Linked DNA regions of Arabidopsis thaliana. The protein of the gene in region 3 purifies or fractionates together with the protein of the main gene of each other region. This does not show direct contact. Each region holds a gene or a part of one and is shown on either strand. Other genes may lie near its edges.

Region 1 (6,786 bases), about 14 Mb from region 3:
ACAAATTGAGATAGAAAATCCATATTATCCAATCCATATGGACAACAATGGAATATATAATCTCCAATGAGAAACATGTAACCATAAACCCTAAATCATTGTAGACAACTTTGATTCTTCAACCCAAAACCCTAAATCATCTAAACTAAACGCGAAATCCTAAACAATAAAGCCTAAATCCTAAAATGTAAACACTAGATACTAAATCTTAAACCCTAGACATTAAACCCTAGCCCTTGACTTTAAAGCCTAAACCCTAAAACCTAAGTTTTATATGTACATAATCTATAACCACCACTTTTGATCCATGATAATCTAAAGCACGCTTCTTAACCTGAAAACGTAAAATATTATTGAGATCGATGTGTTCATACACAATCTTACGATATACACTCGTATTTATGTTTTGTTAATATGTAATCGTGGATAAATAAATATAAACATTTTCATAAATAAACTTTTGTTGATATGACCAACAAAACTTGTTTCATCACATTTTATCAACATCTTTTACATAACGTAACACTGGTTTTATGAATAGTATTAACAAAACACAATCATTTTGAATTATCGACCGTCAACACACATCCACCAAACTCTGACCATGTGGTCATTTCAAATTATCGCCTATCACTCTTCTTTGATTTGTTTTGTATTTTTTCCATTTTTTCATTATTTGCTCATGTGTTTTAATGAAAATAGCATCAAACTACCTTTAAGTTACAAATTTATAGTAAGAATATATGTTTGGGTTCTTTAATTCAACTCTCTCTCTCTCTTTGAGGAATTTCCACAAATATTTGGTGGCCAAATCTAAGATTTGTAAAAAGACAAAAATTTGACCAAGACAATGATGGATACACTAAGAGAAGAAGAAACCTAGCAATTAAAAATGAAAATTTTAACCTTATGAGGTTGATTAAAGAATGAGAAACTGAATAAAAATCTTGAAAATTTCCAACTTTTAAGATCTAAGAAGAGAAAGAAAAAAGAAAAATCTAGATCTACTTTTTGGTGTTTTTGATGAGAGAGAAGAGAGATAATGTCTCAAACCATTTCCTTTTTTCATTAAGATATTTTAAGTGTTTTGTGTGTTTAATTTTGTAAAGAGTAGAGAAAAAAATGAATGAAAAGAGAGAAAAAGTAATGGTTGTAAATTATGGTAAGTTTGGATTGCTTAGGTTGGGTTGATGGTGTAGTAGTAAAAAAACTTTAAAAAGTGTTTACTCTTTCTAAAGTGCTTTATTGCGTAATTGAGTTTCAAAAAAGTGTCCAATTACCTAATATTCTCAAAAACATTTATCATGTTAATGACATTTCTGTAATTAACGTAAATGAGAAGGATATATATGGTTGATTTTTCTTTTCTTTTTTATAGTTACTTAATTTTCAAATTATTAATGTTATAAAACTAAAAACTATTCTTTTAAACATATATATTAATATAGCCTTAAATTTTAAGTGACATTGAAGAAAATTACGATGGAATTGAAAATGCTTACAACGATATTAAGTAGCTTAAAAATATGAAATTCTAAAATGTGCAATTCATAAATTTAAGATTCCTAGATGTAGTCCATAATTATATTTTTATCTGTTTGGTTTTTTATAATAAATTAGAAAAAATGGATAAAAAATGTAACCTTAGCTAAAAAGAAAAAGAAAGAAAGACCCAATAACCAACGAAATCCATTTACCCGTCCATAGGTCTTGGGTTCGGCCCATCAGTTTCCCGCCACATTGTTCCCGCCAAAACTCATAGTCGACATAAAGCCCTTGCCCCCACTCTCTCTCTTCGTTTAGAACTTTTTGATAAGAGAGAAAGAGATAGAGAAATTCGTAACGGAGACGAAGCAACGATGTCAGGATGGGACGAAGGAGCAGTTTACTACAGCGACCAGCCGCAGTTCCCGGAGGCCGGAGACGCCGCAACCATCAGTCCCCACGCCGTCTTAACCAAATTTAAGGAATTCATTCGAAACTTCGAGATCGAACAGAATTGTTTCCCCTACAGAGAAGCTCTCCTCGATAACCCTAAGCGACTTGTTGTCCACCTCGAAGATCTCCTCTCCTTTGATTCCGATCTCCCCTCCTTAATCCGATCTGCTCCTGCCGATTATCTCCCTGTGGTATGACTTCAAAAAAAATTAGGGTTCATATAAGCTTTGTATTGAGTGAGTCAATCTTTGAATTGTAGTTTGAGAAAGCAGCTGGTGAAGTGTTGACTGGATTGAAAATGAGGGAGGCTAATGAGGGAGGGGTAATGGAGGAACCTCTGACTAGAGATGTGCAGATTTTGCTCACTTCAAGAGAGGATCCAGTATCAATGAGATTACTTGGGGTATGTCTGTTTTTTTGTTTTTAGTATCAATGAGATTACTTGGGGTATGTCTATAATGTACTCTTTACTCTTGATAGGCACAGTACATCTCAAAGTTGGTGAAAATCTCTGGGATTAGTATTGCAGCTTCGAGAGTGAAAGCAAAGGCGACTTATGTGTTTTTGGTATGTAAGAATTGTAAAAAGACAAGGGAAGTTCCATGTCGTCCGGGTCTTGGTGGGGCAATTGTTCCTCGATCATGTGATAATATTCCACAGGTGAGTTCTTTTGATTCGTTTGTGATTTGAGTTTGTAGTTATCCTTGGTGTTGATTAGACCAAATTGGAATTTGTTTAGCCTGGAGAGGAGCCTTGCCCTCTTGATCCTTGGATGGTGGTTCCTGATAGGAGCCAGTATGTTGATCAACAGACCTTAAAGCTACAGGAGAATCCGGAGGTATAGATTTACATTGTAATGTTTTCGCTTTTTTTGCACTTGTATATATTAAATGCTTCTGAGTTTTGAAGGATGTTCCTACTGGAGAGCTTCCAAGAAATATGCTTCTCTCAGTTGATCGGCATCTTGTACAAACAATTGTACCTGGAACCAGACTGACAGTAATGGGTATCTACAGCATTTTCCAAGCTTCGTCATCATCTAACTCGTAAGCTTTGTAGTTTTATGTCAAATGAGAGTGTAGATTGTTTTCTGGGAGAGTTACACCACAACAATGATGGACATCTTTTCCTACTTTCTGATGTAGGCATAAAGGAGCAGTTGCAATTCGCCAGCCTTATATCCGAGTTGTTGGACTGGAAGACACAAATGAGGCCAGTTCCCGTGGCCCTGCCAACTTCACTCCTGACGAAGTTAGTATCGCATCATTTGGTTCTTTTTGTTTTCTCATTTGATAGCCTATGTCATCCATGGTTTCACAATGAACTATTGAAGTTAACATGGCTGAATTATTGTTACTGGAAACCAAATGCCTTAGGTAGCTGTTGGCTCTATGAAATTCTTTGTGTAACTCCCAAATGAATGTGATGGTGTTTTCTGGAAATATTCTCTGTGCTACTAGTTTACTATGAAACATTTAGGCCTGCTTGGAAGCCTAGTTGTACAATTCCATTTATCAGTTTTGTCTTCCATAATATTACTTTTAGGAGGAAGAATTCAAAAAGTTTGCTGATAGTCAAGATGTATACAAGAACATTTGCACCAAGATCGCTCCTTCTATATTTGGCCATGAGGATGTGAAGAGAGCAGCTGCGTGTCTTCTCTTTGGAGGATCCAGGAAGGTAGGAAACTGTGATAGCAGTTTTTATTTTCTGTGCACTTTGTATACGTTTTTGATATATTTATATACATTTCTATCTTTGATTCAGAGCCTGCCCGATGGAGTGAAACTAAGAGGTGATATTAATGTTTTGCTTTTGGGAGACCCATCAACTGCAAAATCACAGGTTTGTAATGTGGTCTCAGTATCAATGGTTTATAATAAGTGTGTTATTCTTTTTATATTTTCTTACGTCTCTCTTATTTGCTTGATATTCGTCTTACATCCTTCTGTTCAAGTGTTAGATTACAATCCTTACAAAATGTCTGTGTTATTTCCAACACCTGTAGCTTACATGTTTAAAGCTTAATTGCTTATTTTTTTTCTCTCTAGTTTCTTAAGTTTGTGGAGAAGACGGCTCCAATTGCTGTTTATACATCTGGAAAGGGTTCATCGGCTGCTGGGCTCACAGCTTCGGTGATTCGAGATAGCAGCACTGTATGTCCTATCTTCAAGTGTTTTTCTATGATTTGTTTAAAAGTAGTTGCTATGACAGATTCTCAGTTATTTATACATATGTTCATTGCAGCGAGAGTTCTATCTTGAAGGTGGTGCTATGGTTTTGGCTGATGGAGGTGTTGTGTGTATTGATGAATTTGACAAGATGAGACCGGAAGATAGGTAATTCAAATCTGAATCATAGTGTTGACGAATCTAATTTTTCTCTATGAGTAGAATTGATGGAATGTTTTTTTTTTCTTTATAGGGTTGCTATTCATGAGGCAATGGAGCAGCAGACAATCTCCATTGCAAAAGCTGGGATAACAACTGTCCTTAATTCTAGAACCTCGGTGCTTGCTGCTGCTAACCCGCCATCTGGTCGATATGATGACCTTAAGGTTTGAAATCTGGTACTCTCCTTTGGCAATATCATGGTTTTCCCGATTCTTGTTTGCAATATTCTTAAGAGATGGGTGTGTTTTTTTTTCTTTGGATTTGCAGACTGCTCAGGACAATATCGATCTGCAGACAACAATTCTTTCTAGATTTGATCTTATCTTCATTGTCAAGGACATCAGGAAGTATTCCCAAGACAAGGTAAGCAAGGAAAGGAACAATTCTTTCAGAAATTTTATGTAGTTAAAAGGGAAAACAGAGATTAATGATGGAGGTCACTGTTATTGGAAAGTTTGCTTCGTTGCTTGCTTATTATGTAGACATGATTAATGTTTATAATCTTTTCACAGGAAATAGCCAGCCATATTATAAGGGTTCATGCATCTGCAAACAAATTTTCGGATGAAAACACAGATTCTAAAGAAGATAATTGGCTCAAAAGGTGTGTTTTCATTCGTCGAGAAAACAATGTGTTCTCGCAGTTTTCTGTACAAAATCATGACTCTAAAATATAATGCTCTTTTTATGTTAGGTATATACAATACTGTCGAGCAAGGTGTCATCCCCGTCTCTCAAAAGACGCTGCTGAGAACCTGCAGCGGAAATATGTCACAATCAGAATGGTAATTGTCATTTACATTAGATTTGACAATAAGATGGTTAAAAAACAAAGTTGGTGTCAGTATAAAATTTTCGGCTAAACAGGATATGAAGAGACGTGCACATGAAACAGGAGAGGCTGCTCCGATACCTATCACAGTGAGACAACTCGAAGCTATTGTCAGACTGAGTGAGTCACTTGCAAAAATGAGACTGTAAGTAATCTTATTAACATAGAGATTCCTGATTCCTGAAACCTGATGGGATGTGCCGTCCATTGACATTGTTAAATATGTCAGGTCACACGAGGCCACACCAGATGATGTAGACAAAGCTTTTAAACTTTTTGATACCTCGACAATGGATGCAGCAAGATCAGGGATAAATCAACAGATAAACATAACAGGCGAGATGGCCAATGAAATCAAGGTTAGTTGCTTGTGGGGAAGAAAGAATCATCGTATCTCTAGATGTAATAACTAAATTTGGTATTGGTGTGAAAAAACAGCAAGCGGAAACACAGATAAAGAGAAGAATGGGGATCGGAGCTCGATTATCAGAGAGAAGACTGATAGAGGATCTGGCTAGAATGGGAATGAACGATTCAATGGTACCTAAGCTAACATCTTTGTTGTTTAATTTTCAGTAATGTGAATGGGATTTTTGAGGTAATGTGCATGTTAAAATGGCAGGTGAGGAGAGCTTTGTTGATAATGCACCAGAGAGGTGAAGTTGAGTACCAGCGAGAGAGACGTTCTATTGTCCGCAAAGCTTGATCGTCTAGGCATGCAATCTCTCTTCTTTAGTAGCAGCGATGACCAAACAAAACAAAATATTTAATATTATCAAGTTAATTTGTAGGCAAAAAGTAGAAAGAGAAGCTTATGTCATGTGTATTTGATGAAGATTCTTAGTAAACTTTTACGCTTGCTTCAAACTAATGTATTCTCCACCTTTGTTGTCCTTAGTTAAAATGTCACGCCAATGTTAGGAAAGCGTTTGAAGATTGCTGAATGGTATAATCTAGTGCCGATAGTTAAAGTAAAGATGCAGATAGAATAGTTGATAAAGTAAAAGTGTAATCTGAACGTATATGTAAATTAAAATTTTCTTAATGTTGTTATTAGTAGAATGTTGTTACCTTGAAAAAAAAATGAAATAAATAACCATGGTTGAACTTGACTCAAAATGTTCTTCTTTTAAACTGGTTCGGGTTACAAAACTAGTATGTTGTTGAATTTTGAACTGGTTCTGAAGCTCCCGGAATCTCTCAATTTCATTTTGTTCTTGTGTTGTTGAGAGATAATTGCTTCTCTATTTAACATATTTTTGGCCAATTACTTTACTCTATCATGCATAGCTTGGGAAACTCATGGCTAAAGCTGTTTTAAGTTGCAATGAAGAATCAATTCCTTCTGAACTAACTTCTTGGAAGAAAAACAGACAATAAGAGTACCATTGTTTACTTCTCAGTTCTCAATCACCATCGAATTAGATAGATATTTATGAATTTGGATTAGGCAAGTCCATGAAGACTCATTTATTATGGAAAACTGAGCATATAAATGAGCTACTACAGTTGAAACTAGTTTTTCTTAATTTCCATGACAAGATAATTATAGCAGAGATCAGAAGTTACAAGTGATCAGATTCTAACAACATTTCACTGAGAAGCTCTGACAAAGCTTGAAAA
Region 2 (7,952 bases), on a different chromosome or scaffold from region 3:
TGTGGCAAAACCAAGACTGTTCAATGGGATGCCTAAGATGTTTTTGATCTCTAAACTGAAAATGACTCACGATCAAATCAGATCTACAACATTCTCATTGCTTTCACGAGAAAATAAGTGTTTAATCTTTTCAATTGCTTCGATTTTAATGTATTTCAATGCTGAGTTCACTTCTTCCTAAAATGAAAATGAATGGTTAGAATCAGGAGGCCTTGAAGAAATCCTTCCTAACCAGCCATAGATAGGGAAACTTTATTTTCTTCCAGAAACTGCCATCTCAGAAAAACTGTTTGAAATATGCAGACTTTGGACCACGAGCTTGTACAGGCTCCTGAACTGGAGAAACCGTTCAGGATATTGTTAGCATTCTCAGGCTTGAGGCAGGCGTTGACCACCAACCCAGGATATAATCTGCGAGTTTCTGAGTGTCAAGAGGCAGCAAAAGTTCTTTTGACGTATGTGCAAATCTGTTTGATTCATATTTATCTACATTTTCGCTTATTTAGATTTAAATTTCAGTGGAAATGCTGCAAAGTTTATTTCTCTATTGCTTGTGATACTCATTTTTCTGCATCACAAGATTCACACCCTTCTCTTGATTTACTTTTTCTTTTCAGTGCATCTGGGAACAGTGAGCTGGAACCTACGTTGTGCAATGGTAAAAAAACTTTAAGTGTGGACTTTAACTTATTCGTTGCATGCTGATTAGTTTTTCTTTGTTGCCATGTCTCTAACTGTCCCACTGAATAGTTGAGCATGCGGTCTATGAAGCTCACAAGGTAAGAAAATAAGATTCTTAAGCTTTTGGTAAAACAGGTTCCACCTATATCAGGCCTATGTAAATATGTAATACAATAATACTTGTTCGTGCAGCATGAGCTGAAACCGGTTTTAGCTAAAAGAGCAGAGCATTATTTCTCGGAGAACATGCGAGTTATCAAAGGCAAATGTTCTTGAATTCTTGTAGATGTCTCTTTATGTGCATGAATGATTCATTAAGCTCTTTATGATGCTTAACGGACTTTTATGAATGTTTGTTCTTAAATTTCAGGACGGGAAGCCTGGGCTTCAGGGAATCTTGAAGAATTTGGAAAGCTAATTTCAGCATCCGGCTTGAGTTCCATTGAGAATTACGAATGCGGTACATTACACTCTCTTTTCTTCTCTCCCAAATGCAACATATCCTATAGTGAATACAGACCACTAGTATGCTTACAGACATTATTCTCTCTTAGATTCATTATTTTGGTTTTAAATTCTGTGAGTTTTGTGAAGGTGCGGAGCCACTGATCCAGCTATACAAGATTCTTCTGAAGGCTCCTGGTGTATATGGAGCTAGATTCAGCGGTGCAGGTTTCAGGGGATGTTGTCTAGCCTTTGTAGATGCAGAAAAAGCTGAGGCAGCTGCTTCATATGTGAAGGATGAATATGAAAAGGCCCAACCCGAGTTTGCTAACAATCTAAATGGAGGAAAACCTGTTCTCATCTGTGAAGCAGGTGACGCTGCTCGTGTTCTTCTCTGATCAATCCTGGAGTTTTTGGTTTCTTCCCCACTTAAACTCGATTTTTTTGTCCCTTATATCTCTCACGCTTATTGATTCTTTGCTTGTTTATCTCTTTTTGATCCTGTCTGAGAAATTCTCTGGTCTCTTTGGTCGGAGTTTCATCATTGCTTGATACATTTTTTTTGCTACAAATACATAATGTAAATCATTCTCTACCGTTTTCGAGTCGATAGAAGAATCGCAAACTTCAAAAATGTGACTAACATTTCTCCATAAATTTGTTAAATTTTCAACAATTGGTGAATTTAGTTCTGTAATTGATCTAACAAAGACACTATACAAGTATGAAATTAGAAATTGAAATCGAAAGTTAGTTATTATAATCTTGTTTGTATAAAATAGTGTATATCTCAAATAGAGATACAGATTAGTTTTTTGTTTGGACACAAAGACCCCCGCCAAAGTATTGAAATTCGCGCCTGAGAAATTCTCCGGTGTGGCTCTCTAGGGTTTTAGCACTTTAATCCATTTGTACTTGTAAAAATCCCTAAAACCCTCTGGGCATGACTCCAGTATTATGCCATTCCACTGCTTCAATCCCTAACCCTAACTCTCTCATGTCTCTCTCCTCCACTCTCCGTCTCTCTTCCTCCCTTCTTCGCCGCTCCTTCTTCCGATTCCCCCTCACCGACCCATTATGCCGTCTCCGCCGCACTGAACCCTCCGCCACGCGTTTCTTCTCCTCCCGTACTCCTCGGTCCGGCAAATTCGTTGTCGGTGCTGGTAAGCGCGGAGATGAGCAGGTCAAGGAAGAGTCCGGAGCTAACAATGGCGGTTTGGTTGTTTCTGGGGACGAATCTCGTATTGTGCCTTTTGAGCTACATAAGGAAGCTACTGAGTCGTATATGTCGTATGCGCTCTCTGTTTTGCTTGGACGTGCTTTGCCTGATGTTAGAGACGGACTAAAACCAGTACATCGGAGAATTCTGTTGAGTGACTTTCGTTCGGCTCAAAGCTACTGATATTTTTAAGCTTAGTCAGTGGTATTGTTCCTTCTAATGTTCGATTATTTTGTCTTCCAGCTTTGCAATGCATGAGTTGGGGATGTCATCTAAAAAACCATACAAGAAATGTGCAAGAGTTGTTGGAGAGGTATATTATTGATTTTTGGAAAGTGTTTTCTCAGTCGATTTCTCTAAATATCTTATTCTGAAGAACGATTTGTGCTGTTGAATTCTTTGGGTTTTCAGGTTCTTGGTAAATTCCATCCGCATGGAGATACTGCTGTTTATGATTCTCTTGTTAGGATGGCTCAGGTAAATATCTGAATTCATGGAATGTAGTCCAGTCCTCAAATAATGTTTCAGGCACGATTCGATTCTTCCCAAACTTCTGACTTTTTTGTTTTAATACCTTTGTTTTTTTGGCAGAGTTTCTCCTTGAGATGTCCACTTATCCAAGGCCATGGAAATTTTGGCTCAATAGATGCAGATCCTCCTGCTGCTATGCGTTACACTGAATGCAGACTCGATGTGAGTGCCTTTTACCTTACTTTCCCTTCTAGTTGAAATGGTTTTCCCTGCAATTCACTTTTTCTAGTTGTTTCACTTGTCTTTGCTATCTATAGTGTATCTCTCATCTCTACTTTTTCTCTTGTCTTGAGATGAACATGTATTTTTGTCAGTGTTTTCAGCTGATTGTACTTATTTTTTTTCTGCAGCCACTGGCAGAGGCAGTACTATTGTCTGATCTGGATCAAGATACGGTAACCTCACTATTAATTTGTTGCCAAGTTTACCGATACTCAACTAGATGGTCCTTAACCTCTTTTGTTTTGGCAGGTGGATTTTGTGGCCAATTTTGATAACTCACAAAAAGAACCAGCAGTGTTGCCTGCTCGTCTTCCTGCTTTGTTGTTGAATGGAGCTTCTGGGATTGCGGTAAAATAATCAAACAAATCTTAAATCTGAACTCCTTAATAGATTTTGTTCGAGATTTCTTCAGTTAATCTTGTGCAGATTTTCCCTGCTGTATGAGATTGAATATGCAGTTGAATCTTGATCATTTCACATTGTTTAGGTTGGCATGGCAACAAATATTCCCCCTCATAATCTTGGGGAGTTGGTAGACGTGCTTTGCGCTTTAATCCATAATCCAGAAGCAACGGTATCACTCATCTCCCCTTTGTTTTTCTGTGATTTATCAATTTGTGGGTCTTTTGTTTTACATGAAAAATCCTCTGTTTTATAAGTAGACAACTCATAAGATTTTGTTTCCACTTTCTTCTTCGTCTGGGCAGCTGCAAGAACTGCTGGAATACATGCCTGCACCGGATTTTCCAACTGGAGGAATAATAATGGGAAACCTTGGGTAACTCTTTGCTTTCCAATTTCTCCCCAAAGGGATCTTATACATTAATGACTTTTGTTTGCCCACCTCGTTTGCTAATTTTTTGAGAGTAGGCTATCTATAGGATCAAATAGAAAGACTCACTTCTAAAGTGTGAAACTTTTTTTTTATGGAAATAGAAAAGCATTTTGTTTTGTTTTGATCTATGATTCTAACAGATTACAGAAGCTGTACCTATATCTTAAAAGGAACCTAGAAAATGAGTGAAGAGGATGGTCCAGTTAATAGTTTTCCTTTATTTGTCTGTCATATGCAGTTTTTGAATCATCATGTTTTTTTCTGATGGTGTGAGTGATTTTTTAATATTCTGAAAGCTTATATGTTGTGTAGTACATTTACTCTCGAGTTTGTTGAATACCTTTATTAAAAAAATAGTTTGCATTCATATGCCATTTCCTTTTACAATGTTGGATTCTTATAATTTTCTAATGTGTGTTTGCGCTTTCAAGGGTTTTGGATGCTTACCGAACTGGCCGAGGGCGAGTTGTAGTTAGAGGAAAAGCTGAAGTTGAATTGTTGGATCCAAAGACAAAGCGGAATGCAGTTATTATCACAGAGGTGATCAATTTAGTTTTTTAGATTAATGTTCAGATCTCCATGGATGAGGGTTTCAAAAATGTTTATTAGCAGTAGAGTAATGCCTTTAGTGTGACTTTATTGCAGATTCCTTACCAGACAAACAAAGCTACACTTGTCCAGAAGATTGCCGAACTTGTTGAAAATAAGGTACAACTAAACTTGCGACATCTAATGTTTATTTTGCTTCACTTAGCAATATGTACTTATTTTACTCAGAGGTGTGTTACATTTCTAGTATGTCCTTATATGCTTGCAAAGTTTCTTCTTTATTCATTGATGTTGGTGTTTGTTTTCAGACGCTAGAGGGCATAAGTGACATACGTGACGAGAGTGATCGTAATGGGATGCGTGTGGTTATTGAGGTATTACACTGTTTCCTCTGCACTTAGATGTATTAGTCTGCTTTAAAATTTCATATTGGAAGGTAATTAAGATAATTTCCAATACTTCTCTATAGCTCAAAAGAGGAGGGGATCCTGCACTTGTGCTTAATAATCTTTACCGGCATACTGCCCTTCAATCAAGCTTCAGCTGCAACATGGTGGGGTGAGTTGCATCAACCGATAACTTCTTATTTCCTGTACTTTTTTGAAGAGTGGGCATATAAAAGAACTTGGGCATTTTCCAGGATGACTAGTTGAAAATTCTCTAATGAGTATGTTATGCTTGTAAATATATTAAGGATCATGTATTCACATATGCGTTTTTCTTTATCGTAACTGGATTATGGTATTCTGTGTTTTACAGTATCTGCGATGGAGAACCCAAGCTAATGGGATTAAAAGAACTACTTCAGGTGACCACTTGTCTATGTAAATCATTTATCTACGTAGCCCACAAGGAGTAATAGAAAAGTGAAGATCAGAGATAGGATATTTACTTCTGTGCTACTGTAATCACATTTTAAAGTAAATTTGTTGATTACTTTCTGTTTCTTGCTTGTGTGTAGGCATTTATAGATTTCAGGTGTTCTGTCGTCGAAAGGCGTGCAAGATTCAAGCTTTCACATGCACAACAACGAAAGCATATTATTGAGGTGCGACTAGAAATATTTAACTTTCTTAAATCTGCTCGTGAAGACCATGATGTAATGATGTAAAGCATTTTTTCTAATATCTTCACTGTATATATGCTTAGGGTATTGTGGTTGGGCTTGACAATGTGGACGAAGTAATCGAACTCATCACGAAGGCCTCAAGTCATTCCTCTGCTACTGCTGCTTTACAAAGTGGTGAGCTATATTTTACTTTGACAATATAATCAATGTAACAATCTTGAACTGCACATTATAGGTTGATGTATAAACAGAATTCGGAAAAGTGAGCGAGAATTAGGAGTCAAAAAGTAGACTAGAGCCAATTTTTCTTAGGTGGACTGATAGATGTAGTCTAGGATGTACACTATTAAAAGAATACATCTTGTGGTGAACTCTTCCATATTACATTTGAACATTATATATTTCTTGTCTTTTTATCTGGAACTGCTGGAGTCTCATTCGTTGTAAGATTTGATCTTAATTGCAAAGATTTCTTAGGGATTTATGCTTTGTAAGTCTCTATTGTAAGGGACGATACCATATATTAAAATTAACACTTGTCAAACATTTACTTATGTAGAATATGGTCTTTCTGAGAAACAAGCTGAGGCTATACTGGAGATAACTCTTCGAAGGCTAACTGCTCTTGAGGTGCTTTCTTATTCTCGCTAAGTTCAATTTATGAAACTTGTAGGCTTGACAATGTTCTAACTAGATTCTCCCTTCATAAATGCAGCGGAAAAAGTTTACTGATGAAAGTAGTTCACTAACAGAGCAAATTACAAAGTTGGAGCAGCTATTATCAACCCGAACAAACATCCTAAAGGTGACACACTCACTTTTTAGTTATCTGTTCTTTTGGCTATTGATATTAGAAATTTAGAACACCTAGATGCTAGTAGAATGATAGATGCATCAATATATGTACTCCAAATTTGTAAGCTTGACTGTTTGAGTCCACTGAGGTTCAAAATCTAGTCCATGCATTATGATGTGGTATAAGGATTCAAATGCTTCTTCCATTTCTTGTTTGGTACTTATTTTTATATCTGTAAAGCTGCTTACTATATGTTGCTGTTCTGGGCCAATGTTAGGAAGATAACTGATACATGATGATTTTCTTGTAGACCAAAATTGAACTATTTGCTTCGTTTACTTCATTGTATATTACTTACTACTTTATTCTCTTCGTTGTTTTTCTTGTATTTTTCTTTAGTTAATCGAACAAGAAGCAATAGAGCTGAAGGACAGATTCTCAAGTCCCAGGCGTTCAATGTTGGAGGATTCTGACAGTGGTGATCTAGAAGATATAGATGTTATTCCAAATGAAGAGATGCTGATGGTATGTTGCATACTTAAACCTAGAAAGTTTCTCAACGTTGAAATTTTTGTTGTTTGTTTTGTAACTTTTGATATGGATGACTATAGGCAGTCAGCGAAAAGGGCTATGTGAAGAGAATGAAGGCCGATACATTCAATCTTCAGCATCGTGGAACAATTGGCAAATCTGTTGGGAAACTAAGAGTTGATGATGCAATGTCTGACTTTCTTGTTTGTCATGCACATGACCATGTCCTCTTTTTCAGGTATGTATACCTCAAAATTTCCTTTGTGTTTGCTACGCACATGGATATTAATTTTCTGCCTTGTTGTAATTCATTGCTTATACTTGTTGTACATTCAGTGACCGGGGTATAGTTTACTCAACCCGTGCATATAAAATTCCAGAATGCTCTCGCAATGCAGCTGGTACACCTTTGGTTCAGGTAATTACATATCTGTGTATCTATGTTTTCCTTCTGCTATGTCAAAAATTATTCAATTTTATGAAAGGCTAATGTTTTGCTGTGTTCATGTGACTTGTGGAAGCAGATATTATCCATGTCGGAAGGTGAAAGAGTAACCTCCATTGTTCCTGTTAGCGAGTTTGCTGAAGATCGCTACCTCCTGATGCTTACAGTGAATGGCTGCATCAAGAAAGTATCTTTGAAATTATTTTCAGGAATACGCTCAACTGGAATCATAGCAATTCAGTTGGTTTGTCCCCTTTTTCTTCTTAGTCATATAGGAAGTCTTCTTAACAAGGTTACTCTAACAAAATTATTTGTCTTCAGAATTCTGGTGATGAACTGAAATGGGTTCGTTGTTGCTCAAGCGACGATCTTGTAGCCATGGCATCCCAAAATGGAATGGTCGCCTTGAGTACATGTGATGGTGTAAGTTGTGGCTCTCATTTTTTCTAAATGATTCATCTTTCATGTAAACCTTTTAATACTTGAGCAAACTCTGATGGCTTTTGTTTGTTTAGGTTCGCACACTGAGCAGAAATACAAAGGGAGTGACTGCCATGAGACTCAAGAATGAGGATAAGATAGCGAGCATGGACATCATACCTGCATCTCTGCGGAAAGATATGGAAGAGA
Region 3 (5,467 bases):
ACATACTATATATGATAACTCTTCAGCTTGCTGGGATTGTGAAATGTCCGCGCCATCGTCTCCCAAGGTAACCCCCTTTGTTTTCTTACCCTTTGTAGACTGATTAAAGAACAGACGCATCACTCATCTTGTCTTTTGAAAATATCCAGGTATGATCCTGCTACCGGATTACTGACCGGCACAAAAGATGGGACACTCGTCAATGTTTACTTGAGGTTGTTTGGTCCTAAATCAGAAAAGTCTCTTTGCATCCATCTTCTCGTTTTCCAGGTAGGTCTCAGATATATGTATATCGCCATTCGTATATAATGAAGTAGTCGCTTTAGTGTTGTCATACTCTGCTTGTTTTTGCTACAGGCTCTAGCCTGCGCCTTCTGCTTCATACTTCGACACTTTCTTGCTGGTTGGTATAAATAGTCTGCAATCAGAGAAGTCACAAATACAGAACATTACTTTAGTACCTTGTACAATCGTATATATCAACAATTTTTGTTAACGTGTTGAAGTATTCTCAAGTAAACAAAGTTCATTCATTTGCTTTTTGTTGAACGAAATGGCAAAATTTTCAAGACAATGTATCAGCATCCTGAGTTTCTATAATTCCCGACAAGAGATCAAATACAATTTAATGAGTTTCTCTAACAAGCTAATCTCGAAATCCCTAGATCCCAAGTTTTTTTTCTTGCACAAACATGAAAAATGAAACTAGAGATCTATGTCCATTGTTTCTTTCTCTTCGTCTTCATCATCATTTCCACTGCTTGTCCATAGCTTGATGGTGCGATCATGTGATACAGTAGCGATACACGAGCTATCTGCTGTGATATCTAGAGAGGCGACTTTTGACTCATGCCCTGCTAAGCTTTTAACGAGCGAGAAATCTCTTCCTGACCATATCTGGTAGACAAAATATAAGAAATTGGAATCAAACTATAAGCCAATGAAACAGAAGACTGAAAAAAAAAAAAATACTAAGGCAAGGGATTATAGAAGTAGTTACATTGACTTTCATGTCGTATGAGGCAGTGGCCAGAAAGTAGCCTTCTTGTGGCTCATACTTCACTTGAGACACAAGGTTAGCATGAGCTGGTATAATGTACAATGACTTTCTCATTCTTAGATCCCAAATACGGCATTGATTATCCTCCCCACCAGATGCCAAGTGATAACCATTAGGAGAGAAATTCACGGAGAAAACCTGAAGAAACATATAAAACAGAGGATATTAAAACAAGGGTTAGTAAATAATCACTTTTGCTTGGATACGAGGAGGACCAATGGAACAAAATTAGAATCTTACCGGTTTGATGTGTCCTTGGAAGACAAGAATACTCCTACCAGTGCGGAGATCCCAAACTCGTGCGAGTGAATCAAGCCCACAAGAAGCTGCTAATGCTCCATCTTGTTGAAATGCAATTCCGTAGACACTGCGGCTATGGCCTTCTTGCAAAAGCAGTTCTGCTCCTGTGTTTATATCCCACAATCTCCACGTCTTGTCATAGCTTGTAGTTCCCAGGTATTTCCCTGATGGGTGGAAAGCAACACGTGCCAGACGATCCAAATGACCTTCAAACGTTTGTAGGAGTGTTCCATCAGTTTTCCACAGCTTTGCAGTTCGATCAGCAGAAGCAGTCGCTAGACAATCATCCACTGGGGAGAACACTACATCAGTTGCACGTTCTTTGTGATCCTTCAAGACAGCAATCGTGTTTGTAACTTGAGGCATCTCCCACAATTTAGTAACTCCACTCAGAGAACTAGACAAAAAAAAAATCGATGAATTACTAAACAGAAGGGAACTATGTGAATCACACAAGTCATGAACCTAGAGAATGCGTAATGCAGTTAGAAAGGGCAAATGCAATAGACATGGAGTATGCTATCTATAAGATAAACTATAGGCCTAACTAACTTCATGGTTTTATAAAGGTGCAGTGTTTAAAAGTGAGGAAAATCAGCAAGTTCAGTGTTTAAGAACAGGATTATTAAGATACTTCTCTACTGATATATCAATGAAAATGAATATGCAGGTAGAATGCAATCTAGTCCAGGTAACTCTAATCAAATAGAGACGAGGAAAAATAGTTTCAAGCCTAAGAAACAATATGTGGAGAATATGTGAATTTGTGTTGAGAGTGAGAAGGAGATAGAAGAGAGACATACCATGTGGCAAGTATCTTTCCATCGCGTGAGAAGGAGCAGCCGGTAAGAGGACGATCATCTCCAAAATTACTGCAATCAAGGGCCATGTGTTTAGCATGCTTTAAAGCCCACTTAGTCTCTGCATCCATATCTTCATCTGGATCATCCCTCCGCCGCTTTGCACGCTGAATCCTGACAGCAGCTCTCTTGACAGAAAACTTGGCAATTTCTATTCTAGCCTCTCTAAGTTCCTTTGGACCCTCGGTAAAAAAGGGGTATTCAAGAACTTCATCATCTACTTCCTCTTTTGGAGTCACATCTTCTTCGTGATCTTTAACCAGTTTATCCAATTGCCCATTGATATCATACCTAGTCAACAGCTGAGTCAGCCTAGCTCGTCTCTCCATTTCCTGTTCTCCAAATAGAGTAATGGGCTCCCCAAGTCGTCTAAGTCGGTCCCTAACAGCTTTGTCATTTGTTGGAACTGCCATAGCAGCAGCACGACGCTTTACCAACAAATCTTGCAATGCCTTTTCCTGTCTTTCTCTGACCTGCTTACTCTCTTCAGATATCTCAATATGTTCATCATCTGATTCCGAATCCGAGTCACTGGTTTTCACTCCACCATTTTGTGAAACAGGTGGCCTAAAAGTAGGTGGGCGGGCAACTGGAGGATGTGGCATCATAGGTATTGGAGCCATTGGTGGGGGAAAAGAAGGAGGAACCACAGGTGGAATGGCAGAGAAACCTGAAGTTACAGTAAAAGTGAAACATAAATTACTAGAGTTAAAGGATCACGAAACCAAAGAAAACCCAATGCACTTCTTTAATAATTGGAAGAACGAAACAGTATCTGGACTCTACAGACCAAATCCTTAAGCTCTAATCTAGATGCATTGCGAGAAAAATACAAAAACAAACTCAACCAGGAAAAAGTGAAACAGATTTAAGGAATTCAACTGCACTATAATCTTTGATGTAACAATTTACTTGAATGCTAATTAATTACCTGGCAGAGACGAGGCATCTTGTAGAACTGGAGGTGCTGAAATTTGAGCTGTTGCTGCTAATGAAACATTATCATCCTTGTTGGGTTCCATGTTTCCCTTAAATCCTCAAAAGAAAACACCACCGAAACAGCAATCTAGAGAAAACCCTGGAACAAAGAAGAATTCCAAATCAGTTCTCGTGTCCTAGTATACACAAGACAATGCATTAAACAAATAAGAAAGAGGTTAGCTTTATTCTAAAACTCAAAGTATCAAGTGCTCTCTTGGGAATTTAAACAAACACCTAACAGTCAAAGTATCAAGCTTCCTAGTCACCTCATAAGGGGATACTAGAGCATACTCAGTGAAAGAAGCAAAGAAAATCAACAGGTTTCAGTAGAAAAAAATCGAAACTGGGATCGTAAGTTTACCAGGAATTGACGAAACCCGCGAATCTCGTTACTCTCTTCGAAAGCCCCAAACACGAAACAGTCTTGTCAGTTGCTCAAGCTCCGTGTTTCCTGAGAAAAAACCCATAACCTAATCAACAACCCAATTGTTAAAAATCCATCTTTATGAGAAACAAAGAGAAGCTAAATCAGAGAGGAAAGTTGGTTCATACCTCTGAGTCTGACCAGAGACGACGGTAGCAAAAACGGAAATTTGATGCGAGAAAGCCGAGAGGGTTTTTCTTATTTATTTTTTAGTCCTTTAAACCGACCTTTGACAAAAAAAAAACGACTTTGTGAAAACGGGCCGGTTCATATTGGGCCTTTTTCATAATGGGCTTTTATTAATTCGTAAAAGTTTGAGTATATGAAGCAGGTCATGTTCATTTTCTGTTTACGTAAAAAAATCTTCTAACACAATTCAACCAAATCCATTCACGGCCCAATAAATTATTGAATCTTGTGGTATGCTCCAAATTTCTTTACCTAAAACTCTAAATATTTAAAAACCAGATTCTATTTTGCAATTATTTGAAAATTTGGATTCTAAAATATAAAGAAAAAACTGAATAAAGAAGTAGGACCCGATGCACTAGCACACTCAGCACCTCCCAAGAGTCGGGCCTGATTCACATACACAATTTGGTATACTCAGAAACGAGCTTCTCTACGAATTTGTCGATAACTTTTATAATAAAGGAGATCATCGTACGTGTCCACGTAAATGTTTTTGTTTTGGTCAAAGTGCACGTTTTCTATTGTCCATTGAATCCTTTGTGTTTACTCATTCTCCAAAACTTGAAACTATATGTACATAACTCATTTTTAGTATAGCTTTAAGTGATTTGCTATCTACAATAGACTATAGTAAACGAATATTTTGTAACATGATAGATTAATAAAGTAGAGATCTAATTAAGGAGGGAAGGAAATCATCAGTGTCTTCAAACCAATACAAATAAGAGTGAGTTTTGGTTCATTCCAGCCCTACACCTAGAGCAACCGATTCACAATTTTAGTTTATTGTTTTCGAATATTCTTATATGATTCTCTTATAAGCATCACACCTGAACAAAGAAACTTCTAGCCTTTCTACAATGTTCCGATAGAGTAGCTAATTCGGACAATGTTCCAACATAAATCCGTAACGTGGCATACAAAAAGTTACACGAAATCTTGAACCTTGCTGTTACCGCTCCTGTTTTACTTTCAGTCACAGTTTCTTTTTTCCACAGTGTTGGTTTCTTCTGATGTTTCAAAAGTTGGCCAACCCCACAATCTTTTTCTCAGACAGTGTAGTTAGTTTTTTTTGGTGAATGGTATCTATCAATCAGTCAAATGAGTCAGTCTAAGATTCAAGATATTGATCCTACCATATCATATTAGATTCCACGTGGCGCAAGCCAAGGCATGGCTTAGAGGAGGGGTCCCTTACTTCATATGGCCTGTGACATTGTTTTCCCAAAAAGTGGTTCCACTTTGTTGAGACTTTCAAGCTCAGCCACTAAGACTTGCTCTTCAACTTCTTCTACTACTTCTGGTTCCTAAATCTTGTCTGCTCAATATTTCTAAGTCATTTAGATGTCTTTTCGTGTTATCTCAAGTCCTTTTCTTCCCCGTGTTTGTTACTTACTTTCTATCTAGTGCAGTGGGTGAGGAAATGGCTCCACTTACCACGTGAAGATAGCTTGAAGATAACCCTTTTTCTATGTTTTATATAACCCTCTATAGACAATAACTCACTTGTCGCTATCGTTTGAAATACTTGGAACTTTGATGCTTAATCATTCCTTGTTTTGAATGACTTATCTTAATCCTAAGATGGAGATTTCAAAGATTTACTTGCTAGTTCATTGAACTTAATTGCAAAGATGCTCTATACTTTGA
Region 4 (4,615 bases), 480 kb from region 3:
AATCTGGTTGATTGGCTATAAGATTTGGTAACTTGGAACCTCATGTTGATTCTGCTTATTGTTTATGAACCTGTGAATTTGAAATTCTTCAATGGATTTTGGTTGCAGTGTGGAATACAATGTCTCGTATGTGTATCACGCTATGTATGCTTACTTTGATCGGGATAACATCGCGCTCAAAGGTCTTGCCAAGTGAGTCTCCGGTTATTCAAGAGTGTTGATATTTTCGGATTTTTTTTGTTTATCCATAGTTAATTGTTGGTTTCATGGAATCAGGTTCTTTAAGGAATCAAGTTTGGAAGAAAGAGAGCATGCTGAGAAGTTAATGGAGTATCAGGTCTTATGAAAGTTATTTCCATTTGTTTACCTTATTGGAGCTAATTTGGTTCTAACATGTTTTAGTTTTTTTCCATGAATTGCAGAACAAACGTGGTGGGAGGGTTAAGTTACAGTCCATTGTAATGCCTCTTTCAGAGTTTGAACATGTTGACAAAGGAGATGCTCTTTATGGTAAGCTCAAAAATGCTAACACTAATAATCCCAAGTGAAAAAACTTCTTTAGTTTCATATGTCTGCCACATTCTAAGAAATTAGATATTGACACCAATGATTTTGTTAAGCTTTTGAAGAGATTGCATATTTTCACTAGCAAAGACTGAATTTTATCTGAGTTCTTAAGTATTATGAAAATGTATCTCTCATATGGAGATTCAAGTCTCAATGGATATAGGAATTTTAACATACAATTCTGTGATTTGTTGTTGCAGGCATGGAGCTTGCTCTGTCACTGGAGAAACTAGTTAATGAGAAGCTCTTAAACCTTCACAGTGTAAAGACCATCTCTTCTTGAGTTCATACTATATATGTCAAATCCGTATTTGAGAAGTAAATCTAATCTTCACTCGGCAAGAACTGTTCTCAGTTTGGTAATGCTTTGCTTCAACAGGTTGCTTCGAAGAACAATGATGTCCACTTGGCAGATTTTATTGAGAGCGAGTTTCTGACAGAGCAGGTAATTTATTTGGTGTTCTATGTTAGTGGCAAAGAGCTACTGTTGTATATAAGCTATCAAAGAGAATCTAATAGGAATTTTTGATAAAATAAAACATTTCTCAGGTGGAAGCAATCAAGTTGATCTCAGAATATGTGGCTCAACTGCGACGAGTTGGCAAAGGACACGGTACATAAATAATCTCTCACATTTTGTTCTAATCTATAAATTTATAAAAGAACAAGAAAATCCACTTATTCATCCTACGTCGTGCCTCAAACTTGGTTTTAATATATGTCTTTGAATGCTTGTGGGTAATTTCAGGAACATGGCATTTCAATCAGATGCTTCTGGAAGGGTAAGCAGCTTCGAGGGACTCTTGTGTCTACTGTGTTTCTATATGTGTCTACTTTATGTTTAGTTCTTTAGCTTTTACGATTTTGTGAGGTAGTAGACTTCTTTTTCTGTAAGAGACAAAAGACATGATCACATAACTTTATATTCTGGTATAAGGTTCATCAAACCCACCTGGTGATCGATTCTACATCGGTTCGGTCAGAATGTTTTTGGACTGCCAAATGTGGATTCGAGCTCTAGTTTAGTTTGCTCCGGTTTAAACGCAATTCATGAATAAGCAAAGGAAATCAATCCAAACTTACGTTGTGAAAGAAGTTGGGCCGAAAATGTCTGAAACCCGAATAGGCTTTTAACCCCTAACCCCTTGAAACTATCTTGTGGCCCAATTAAAACCTAATTGTTTAACTGACACGGTGCCGTTTAACTTGGCATCTTTGACGCAAGTCGACTCATTTTCCGTTTGTGTTCCTTGCTCATTTCTTATCTCTAGAAACCTGTCTGATTTGCTCCGTCGCCTAAAAAGTCTAAAACCCTAAGTGTCTCCGCCTCGTAGCTTTACCCGATTCAACGAAGAGTGAATTCGCGTGAGCTCAAGCAGTATCGAAATCTACCAATCATGGCGAGTCAAACACCGAATCTCGAGTGTCGGATGTACGAGGCGAAATACCCAGAGGTGGATATGGCGGTGATGATCCAGGTGAAGAACATTGCCGATATGGGAGCTTATGTTTCTCTCCTCGAGTACAACAACATCGAAGGCATGATCCTTTTCTCCGAGCTCTCTCGTCGTCGGATCCGAAGTGTTAGCAGTTTGATTAAGGTCGGAAGAATTGAGCCTGTCATGGTTCTCCGTGTTGACAAAGAGAAAGGTTACATTGATCTGAGCAAACGTAGAGTCAGCGAGGAAGATATTCAGACTTGTGAAGAGAGGTATAACAAGAGCAAACTTGTTCATTCTATCATGCGCCATGTTGCTGAGACTCTTTCAATTGATTTGGAGGTAAAATATCGTAGTTCAAATCTGGGATTATCTACTGGATTTGGATTTTGCTTGTTAGAGATATTATCAAATATCATAGCTTAGTGATGTGATCGTTGAATAGAAATTGATTTGAGCTTTCATGTTGCAGGACTTGTATGTGAACATTGGTTGGCCTTTGTATCGACGACATGGTCATGCTTTTGAGGTAAGAATTTTGTGAATTGGAGATTCATTGTGTATCTCTATGGTTATTTAGTTCTCATATATAATTTTCTTTTGTTCAGGCTTTCAAGATCTTAGTGACGGATCCTGATTCAGTGTTGGGTCCTCTCACCCGTGAGATCAAAGAAGTTGGGCCTGATGGGCAAGAGGTATATACTTTGTTCTCTGGCATTGTTTTAGCGGTTAGTACTAACTTTATTTGGTGCTAATCTTACAAGTTTTCTGTTTGTAGGTGACTAAGGTTGTACCTGCTGTTACGGAAGAAGTGAAAGATGCACTTGTGAAGAACATTAGGAGGAGAATGACACCACAACCAATGAAAATCCGGGCTGATATCGAATTGAAGTGTTTTCAGTTTGATGGAGTTGTTCACATTAAGGTCGTATCTCTTATTAGATTATCTTTAACTTGTGAAATGAATACATTATGATTTCATTTGATTTTCTCACCCATGCTTGTAATTTCAGGAGGCTATGAAAAATGCTGAAGCCGCTGGAAATGAAGACTGTCCTGTTAAGATTAAATTGGTTGCTCCACCTCTGTATGTCCTTACTACTCAGACACTTGACAAGGTTAGGCAATCTTCTATCTTGCACTATGATTTACTTGGTTTGGTAATTGGTATATTATAGAAATCCTCCCCTACTTATCTTTAAGAGGTTTATGATCTCTGTTTAGATTGTATATCCACTAAAGCTACTTGCCAGAATTTTGAAAACACTGTAGTTGCAAGGAAAGTAAATGCTTAAGAAAACACTGGACATTGCAACTTTGTTTGCCAATTATGTAGCTCTGCGGATTTGTCTTCACTTAAACCATAAATGTGTAAATGCTATGTTTTGTCCCATTTTATCTTCTCAATTTCTCAAATATTAAACAGGAACAAGGGATTGAAATTCTAAACAAAGCCATAGCAGCATGCACTGAGACAATTGAGACACACAAAGGCAAGCTTGTCGTTAAGGAGGGGGCTAGAGCTGTGAGTATCTTAAATTAGTTTTTTTTAAGTGATGAACCGTCTCGAGTTGCATGTCACAAGAACGAGCTTTTCTTTTGTGTTTTGTTTAATTTGGTTCACAACCGCCTATTAATGTTTATAATCTATGTCAAATATAGGTGAGTGAACGTGATGAAAAGATGCTGACAGAACACATGGCTAAGCTACGTCTTGACAATGAAGAAATGAGCGGCGATGAAGATAGCGGAGACGAAGAAGAGGACACTGGTATGGGCGAAGTGGATCTCGATGCAGGTGCCGGAATCATCGAGTAAGATTGCCGGATTTTTCTTTCTATTAAATCTACCCAATCTCAACAGTCCCAGTATTTTGGTTTAAGCTTTGACAAGGCAGTAGAAAAACCTCCGAGAGGATTTATGTGCTTTTTGATGACTCTGAGGCATTTTATTTTACCCATAGGGGGTGGTTACATATCAATCATACATTCATGGTTTTATAAAAGATTTGATTCTTTGCATATGTTACTACTGCTCAAGAATATGTTGCTCCACCACATGACTCATTATTATCTTAGGAAAACTTTGGCTCAATATGATCATACTTTTGAGTTTAAACCTCAGGAAAGTAGGTTGATTGGATCTGGCAATGATAGGTGTGTAGATTTAATTCAGATCTGATGTCTCCGAAGATGCAGATATTCATCAATTACTACTGCGATCTTCTATTGAGAAAATTTACCAAAAATGAAATTCTTAAAAATCCTCTGTCTGATACATAAATGGTTAACTTGCAATTGATTCATAATTAAAATGATTTATTACAAGATCAAACATCTTGTCTTATACTACTAATCAGAAAAGAAAAATTCTTTCGGACACAAATCCTTTTTTAATCTGTCGGCGCATTAAAAATTACTTAAGCTCTCTCTGCAAAATCGAAATGTGAAAGTTGCGACTTTTGGAGCTCAGCTCAGCTCACACTTTCCTCTTCCTCTTACCTGAAACGCGTCTCGTAACACTGATCTCTAATGATCTTCGTCTCCAATGGCGATATCAGTACAACACGTCGTCGTTTTACTCCTCTCCACTCTCCTCATCGCCATCAC

What was found.
Region 1: the proteins of LIS (region 3) and MCM5 fractionate together in Arabidopsis thaliana (co-fractionation; one large-scale study listed by BioGRID). This does not show direct contact.
Region 2: the proteins of LIS (region 3) and GYRA fractionate together in Arabidopsis thaliana (co-fractionation; one large-scale study listed by BioGRID). This does not show direct contact.
Region 4: the proteins of LIS (region 3) and AT2G40290 fractionate together in Arabidopsis thaliana (co-fractionation; one large-scale study listed by BioGRID). This does not show direct contact.

Annotation. Positions count from the first base shown.
Region 1 is NC_003071.7:3,522,462-3,529,247, reverse strand, and holds MCM5 (Minichromosome maintenance (MCM2/3/5) family protein), read left to right. Parts: upstream 1-1,747; 5' UTR 1,748-1,859; coding exon 1,860-2,129; intron 2,130-2,197; coding exon 2,198-2,341; intron 2,342-2,418; coding exon 2,419-2,598; intron 2,599-2,677; coding exon 2,678-2,776; intron 2,777-2,847; coding exon 2,848-2,984; intron 2,985-3,083; coding exon 3,084-3,189; intron 3,190-3,483; coding exon 3,484-3,618; intron 3,619-3,705; coding exon 3,706-3,783; intron 3,784-3,989; coding exon 3,990-4,094; intron 4,095-4,185; coding exon 4,186-4,277; intron 4,278-4,362; coding exon 4,363-4,495; intron 4,496-4,598; coding exon 4,599-4,694; intron 4,695-4,843; coding exon 4,844-4,935; intron 4,936-5,025; coding exon 5,026-5,116; intron 5,117-5,198; coding exon 5,199-5,308; intron 5,309-5,392; coding exon 5,393-5,522; intron 5,523-5,601; coding exon 5,602-5,703; intron 5,704-5,785; coding exon 5,786-5,869; 3' UTR 5,870-6,264; downstream 6,265-6,786. Other genes in the region: ABCC13 (multidrug resistance-associated protein 11), read right to left, coding at 6,757-6,786. UniProt on the Arabidopsis thaliana protein: Probable component of the MCM2-7 complex (MCM complex) that may function as a DNA helicase and which is essential to undergo a single round of replication initiation and elongation per cell cycle in eukaryotic cells.
Region 2 is NC_003074.8:3,340,360-3,348,311, reverse strand, and holds the start of GYRA (DNA GYRASE A), read left to right. Parts: upstream 1-1,951; 5' UTR 1,952-2,068; coding exon 2,069-2,493; intron 2,494-2,587; coding exon 2,588-2,657; intron 2,658-2,755; coding exon 2,756-2,821; intron 2,822-2,935; coding exon 2,936-3,037; intron 3,038-3,225; coding exon 3,226-3,270; intron 3,271-3,346; coding exon 3,347-3,445; intron 3,446-3,584; coding exon 3,585-3,671; intron 3,672-3,804; coding exon 3,805-3,875; intron 3,876-4,363; coding exon 4,364-4,472; intron 4,473-4,577; coding exon 4,578-4,640; intron 4,641-4,789; coding exon 4,790-4,855; intron 4,856-4,950; coding exon 4,951-5,039; intron 5,040-5,240; coding exon 5,241-5,289; intron 5,290-5,442; coding exon 5,443-5,529; intron 5,530-5,630; coding exon 5,631-5,724; intron 5,725-6,109; coding exon 6,110-6,180; intron 6,181-6,265; coding exon 6,266-6,355; intron 6,356-6,745; coding exon 6,746-6,871; intron 6,872-6,957; coding exon 6,958-7,115; intron 7,116-7,213; and 7 more. Other genes in the region: GalAK (galacturonic acid kinase), read left to right, coding at 304-455, 618-658, 751-779, 874-943, 1,052-1,141, 1,276-1,523. UniProt on the Arabidopsis thaliana protein: A type II topoisomerase that negatively supercoils closed circular double-stranded DNA in an ATP-dependent manner.
Region 3 is NC_003071.7:17,303,614-17,309,080, forward strand, and holds LIS (WD-40 repeat family protein / small nuclear ribonucleoprotein Prp4p-like protein), read right to left. Parts: upstream 3,814-5,467; 5' UTR 3,754-3,813; intron 3,672-3,753; exon of another isoform or gene 3,653-3,671; 5' UTR 3,563-3,652; intron 3,299-3,562; 5' UTR 3,243-3,298; coding exon 3,152-3,242; intron 2,891-3,151; coding exon 2,164-2,890; intron 1,758-2,163; coding exon 1,301-1,757; intron 1,199-1,300; coding exon 1,001-1,198; intron 898-1,000; coding exon 706-897; 3' UTR 517-705; downstream 1-516. Other genes in the region: GPT (UDP-glcnac-adolichol phosphate glcnac-1-p-transferase), read left to right, coding at 27-67, 150-270, 358-417. UniProt on the Arabidopsis thaliana protein: Participates in pre-mRNA splicing. Part of the U4/U5/U6 tri-snRNP complex, one of the building blocks of the spliceosome. Essential for reproduction.
Region 4 is NC_003071.7:16,828,239-16,832,853, reverse strand, and holds AT2G40290 (Eukaryotic translation initiation factor 2 subunit 1), read left to right. Parts: upstream 1-1,627; 5' UTR 1,628-1,964; coding exon 1,965-2,348; intron 2,349-2,478; coding exon 2,479-2,535; intron 2,536-2,614; coding exon 2,615-2,701; intron 2,702-2,784; coding exon 2,785-2,931; coding exon of another isoform or gene 2,932-2,982; exon of another isoform or gene 2,983-3,019; coding exon 3,020-3,124; intron 3,125-3,432; coding exon 3,433-3,531; exon of another isoform or gene 3,532-3,535; intron 3,536-3,668; coding exon 3,669-3,824; 3' UTR 3,825-4,088; downstream 4,089-4,615. Other genes in the region: FER4 (ferritin 4), read left to right, coding at 109-192, 277-337, 423-510, 768-829, 947-1,012, 1,117-1,180, 1,316-1,353; AT2G40280 (S-adenosyl-L-methionine-dependent methyltransferases superfamily protein), read left to right, coding at 4,554-4,615. UniProt on the Arabidopsis thaliana protein: Functions in the early steps of protein synthesis by forming a ternary complex with GTP and initiator tRNA. This complex binds to a 40S ribosomal subunit, followed by mRNA binding to form a 43S pre-initiation complex.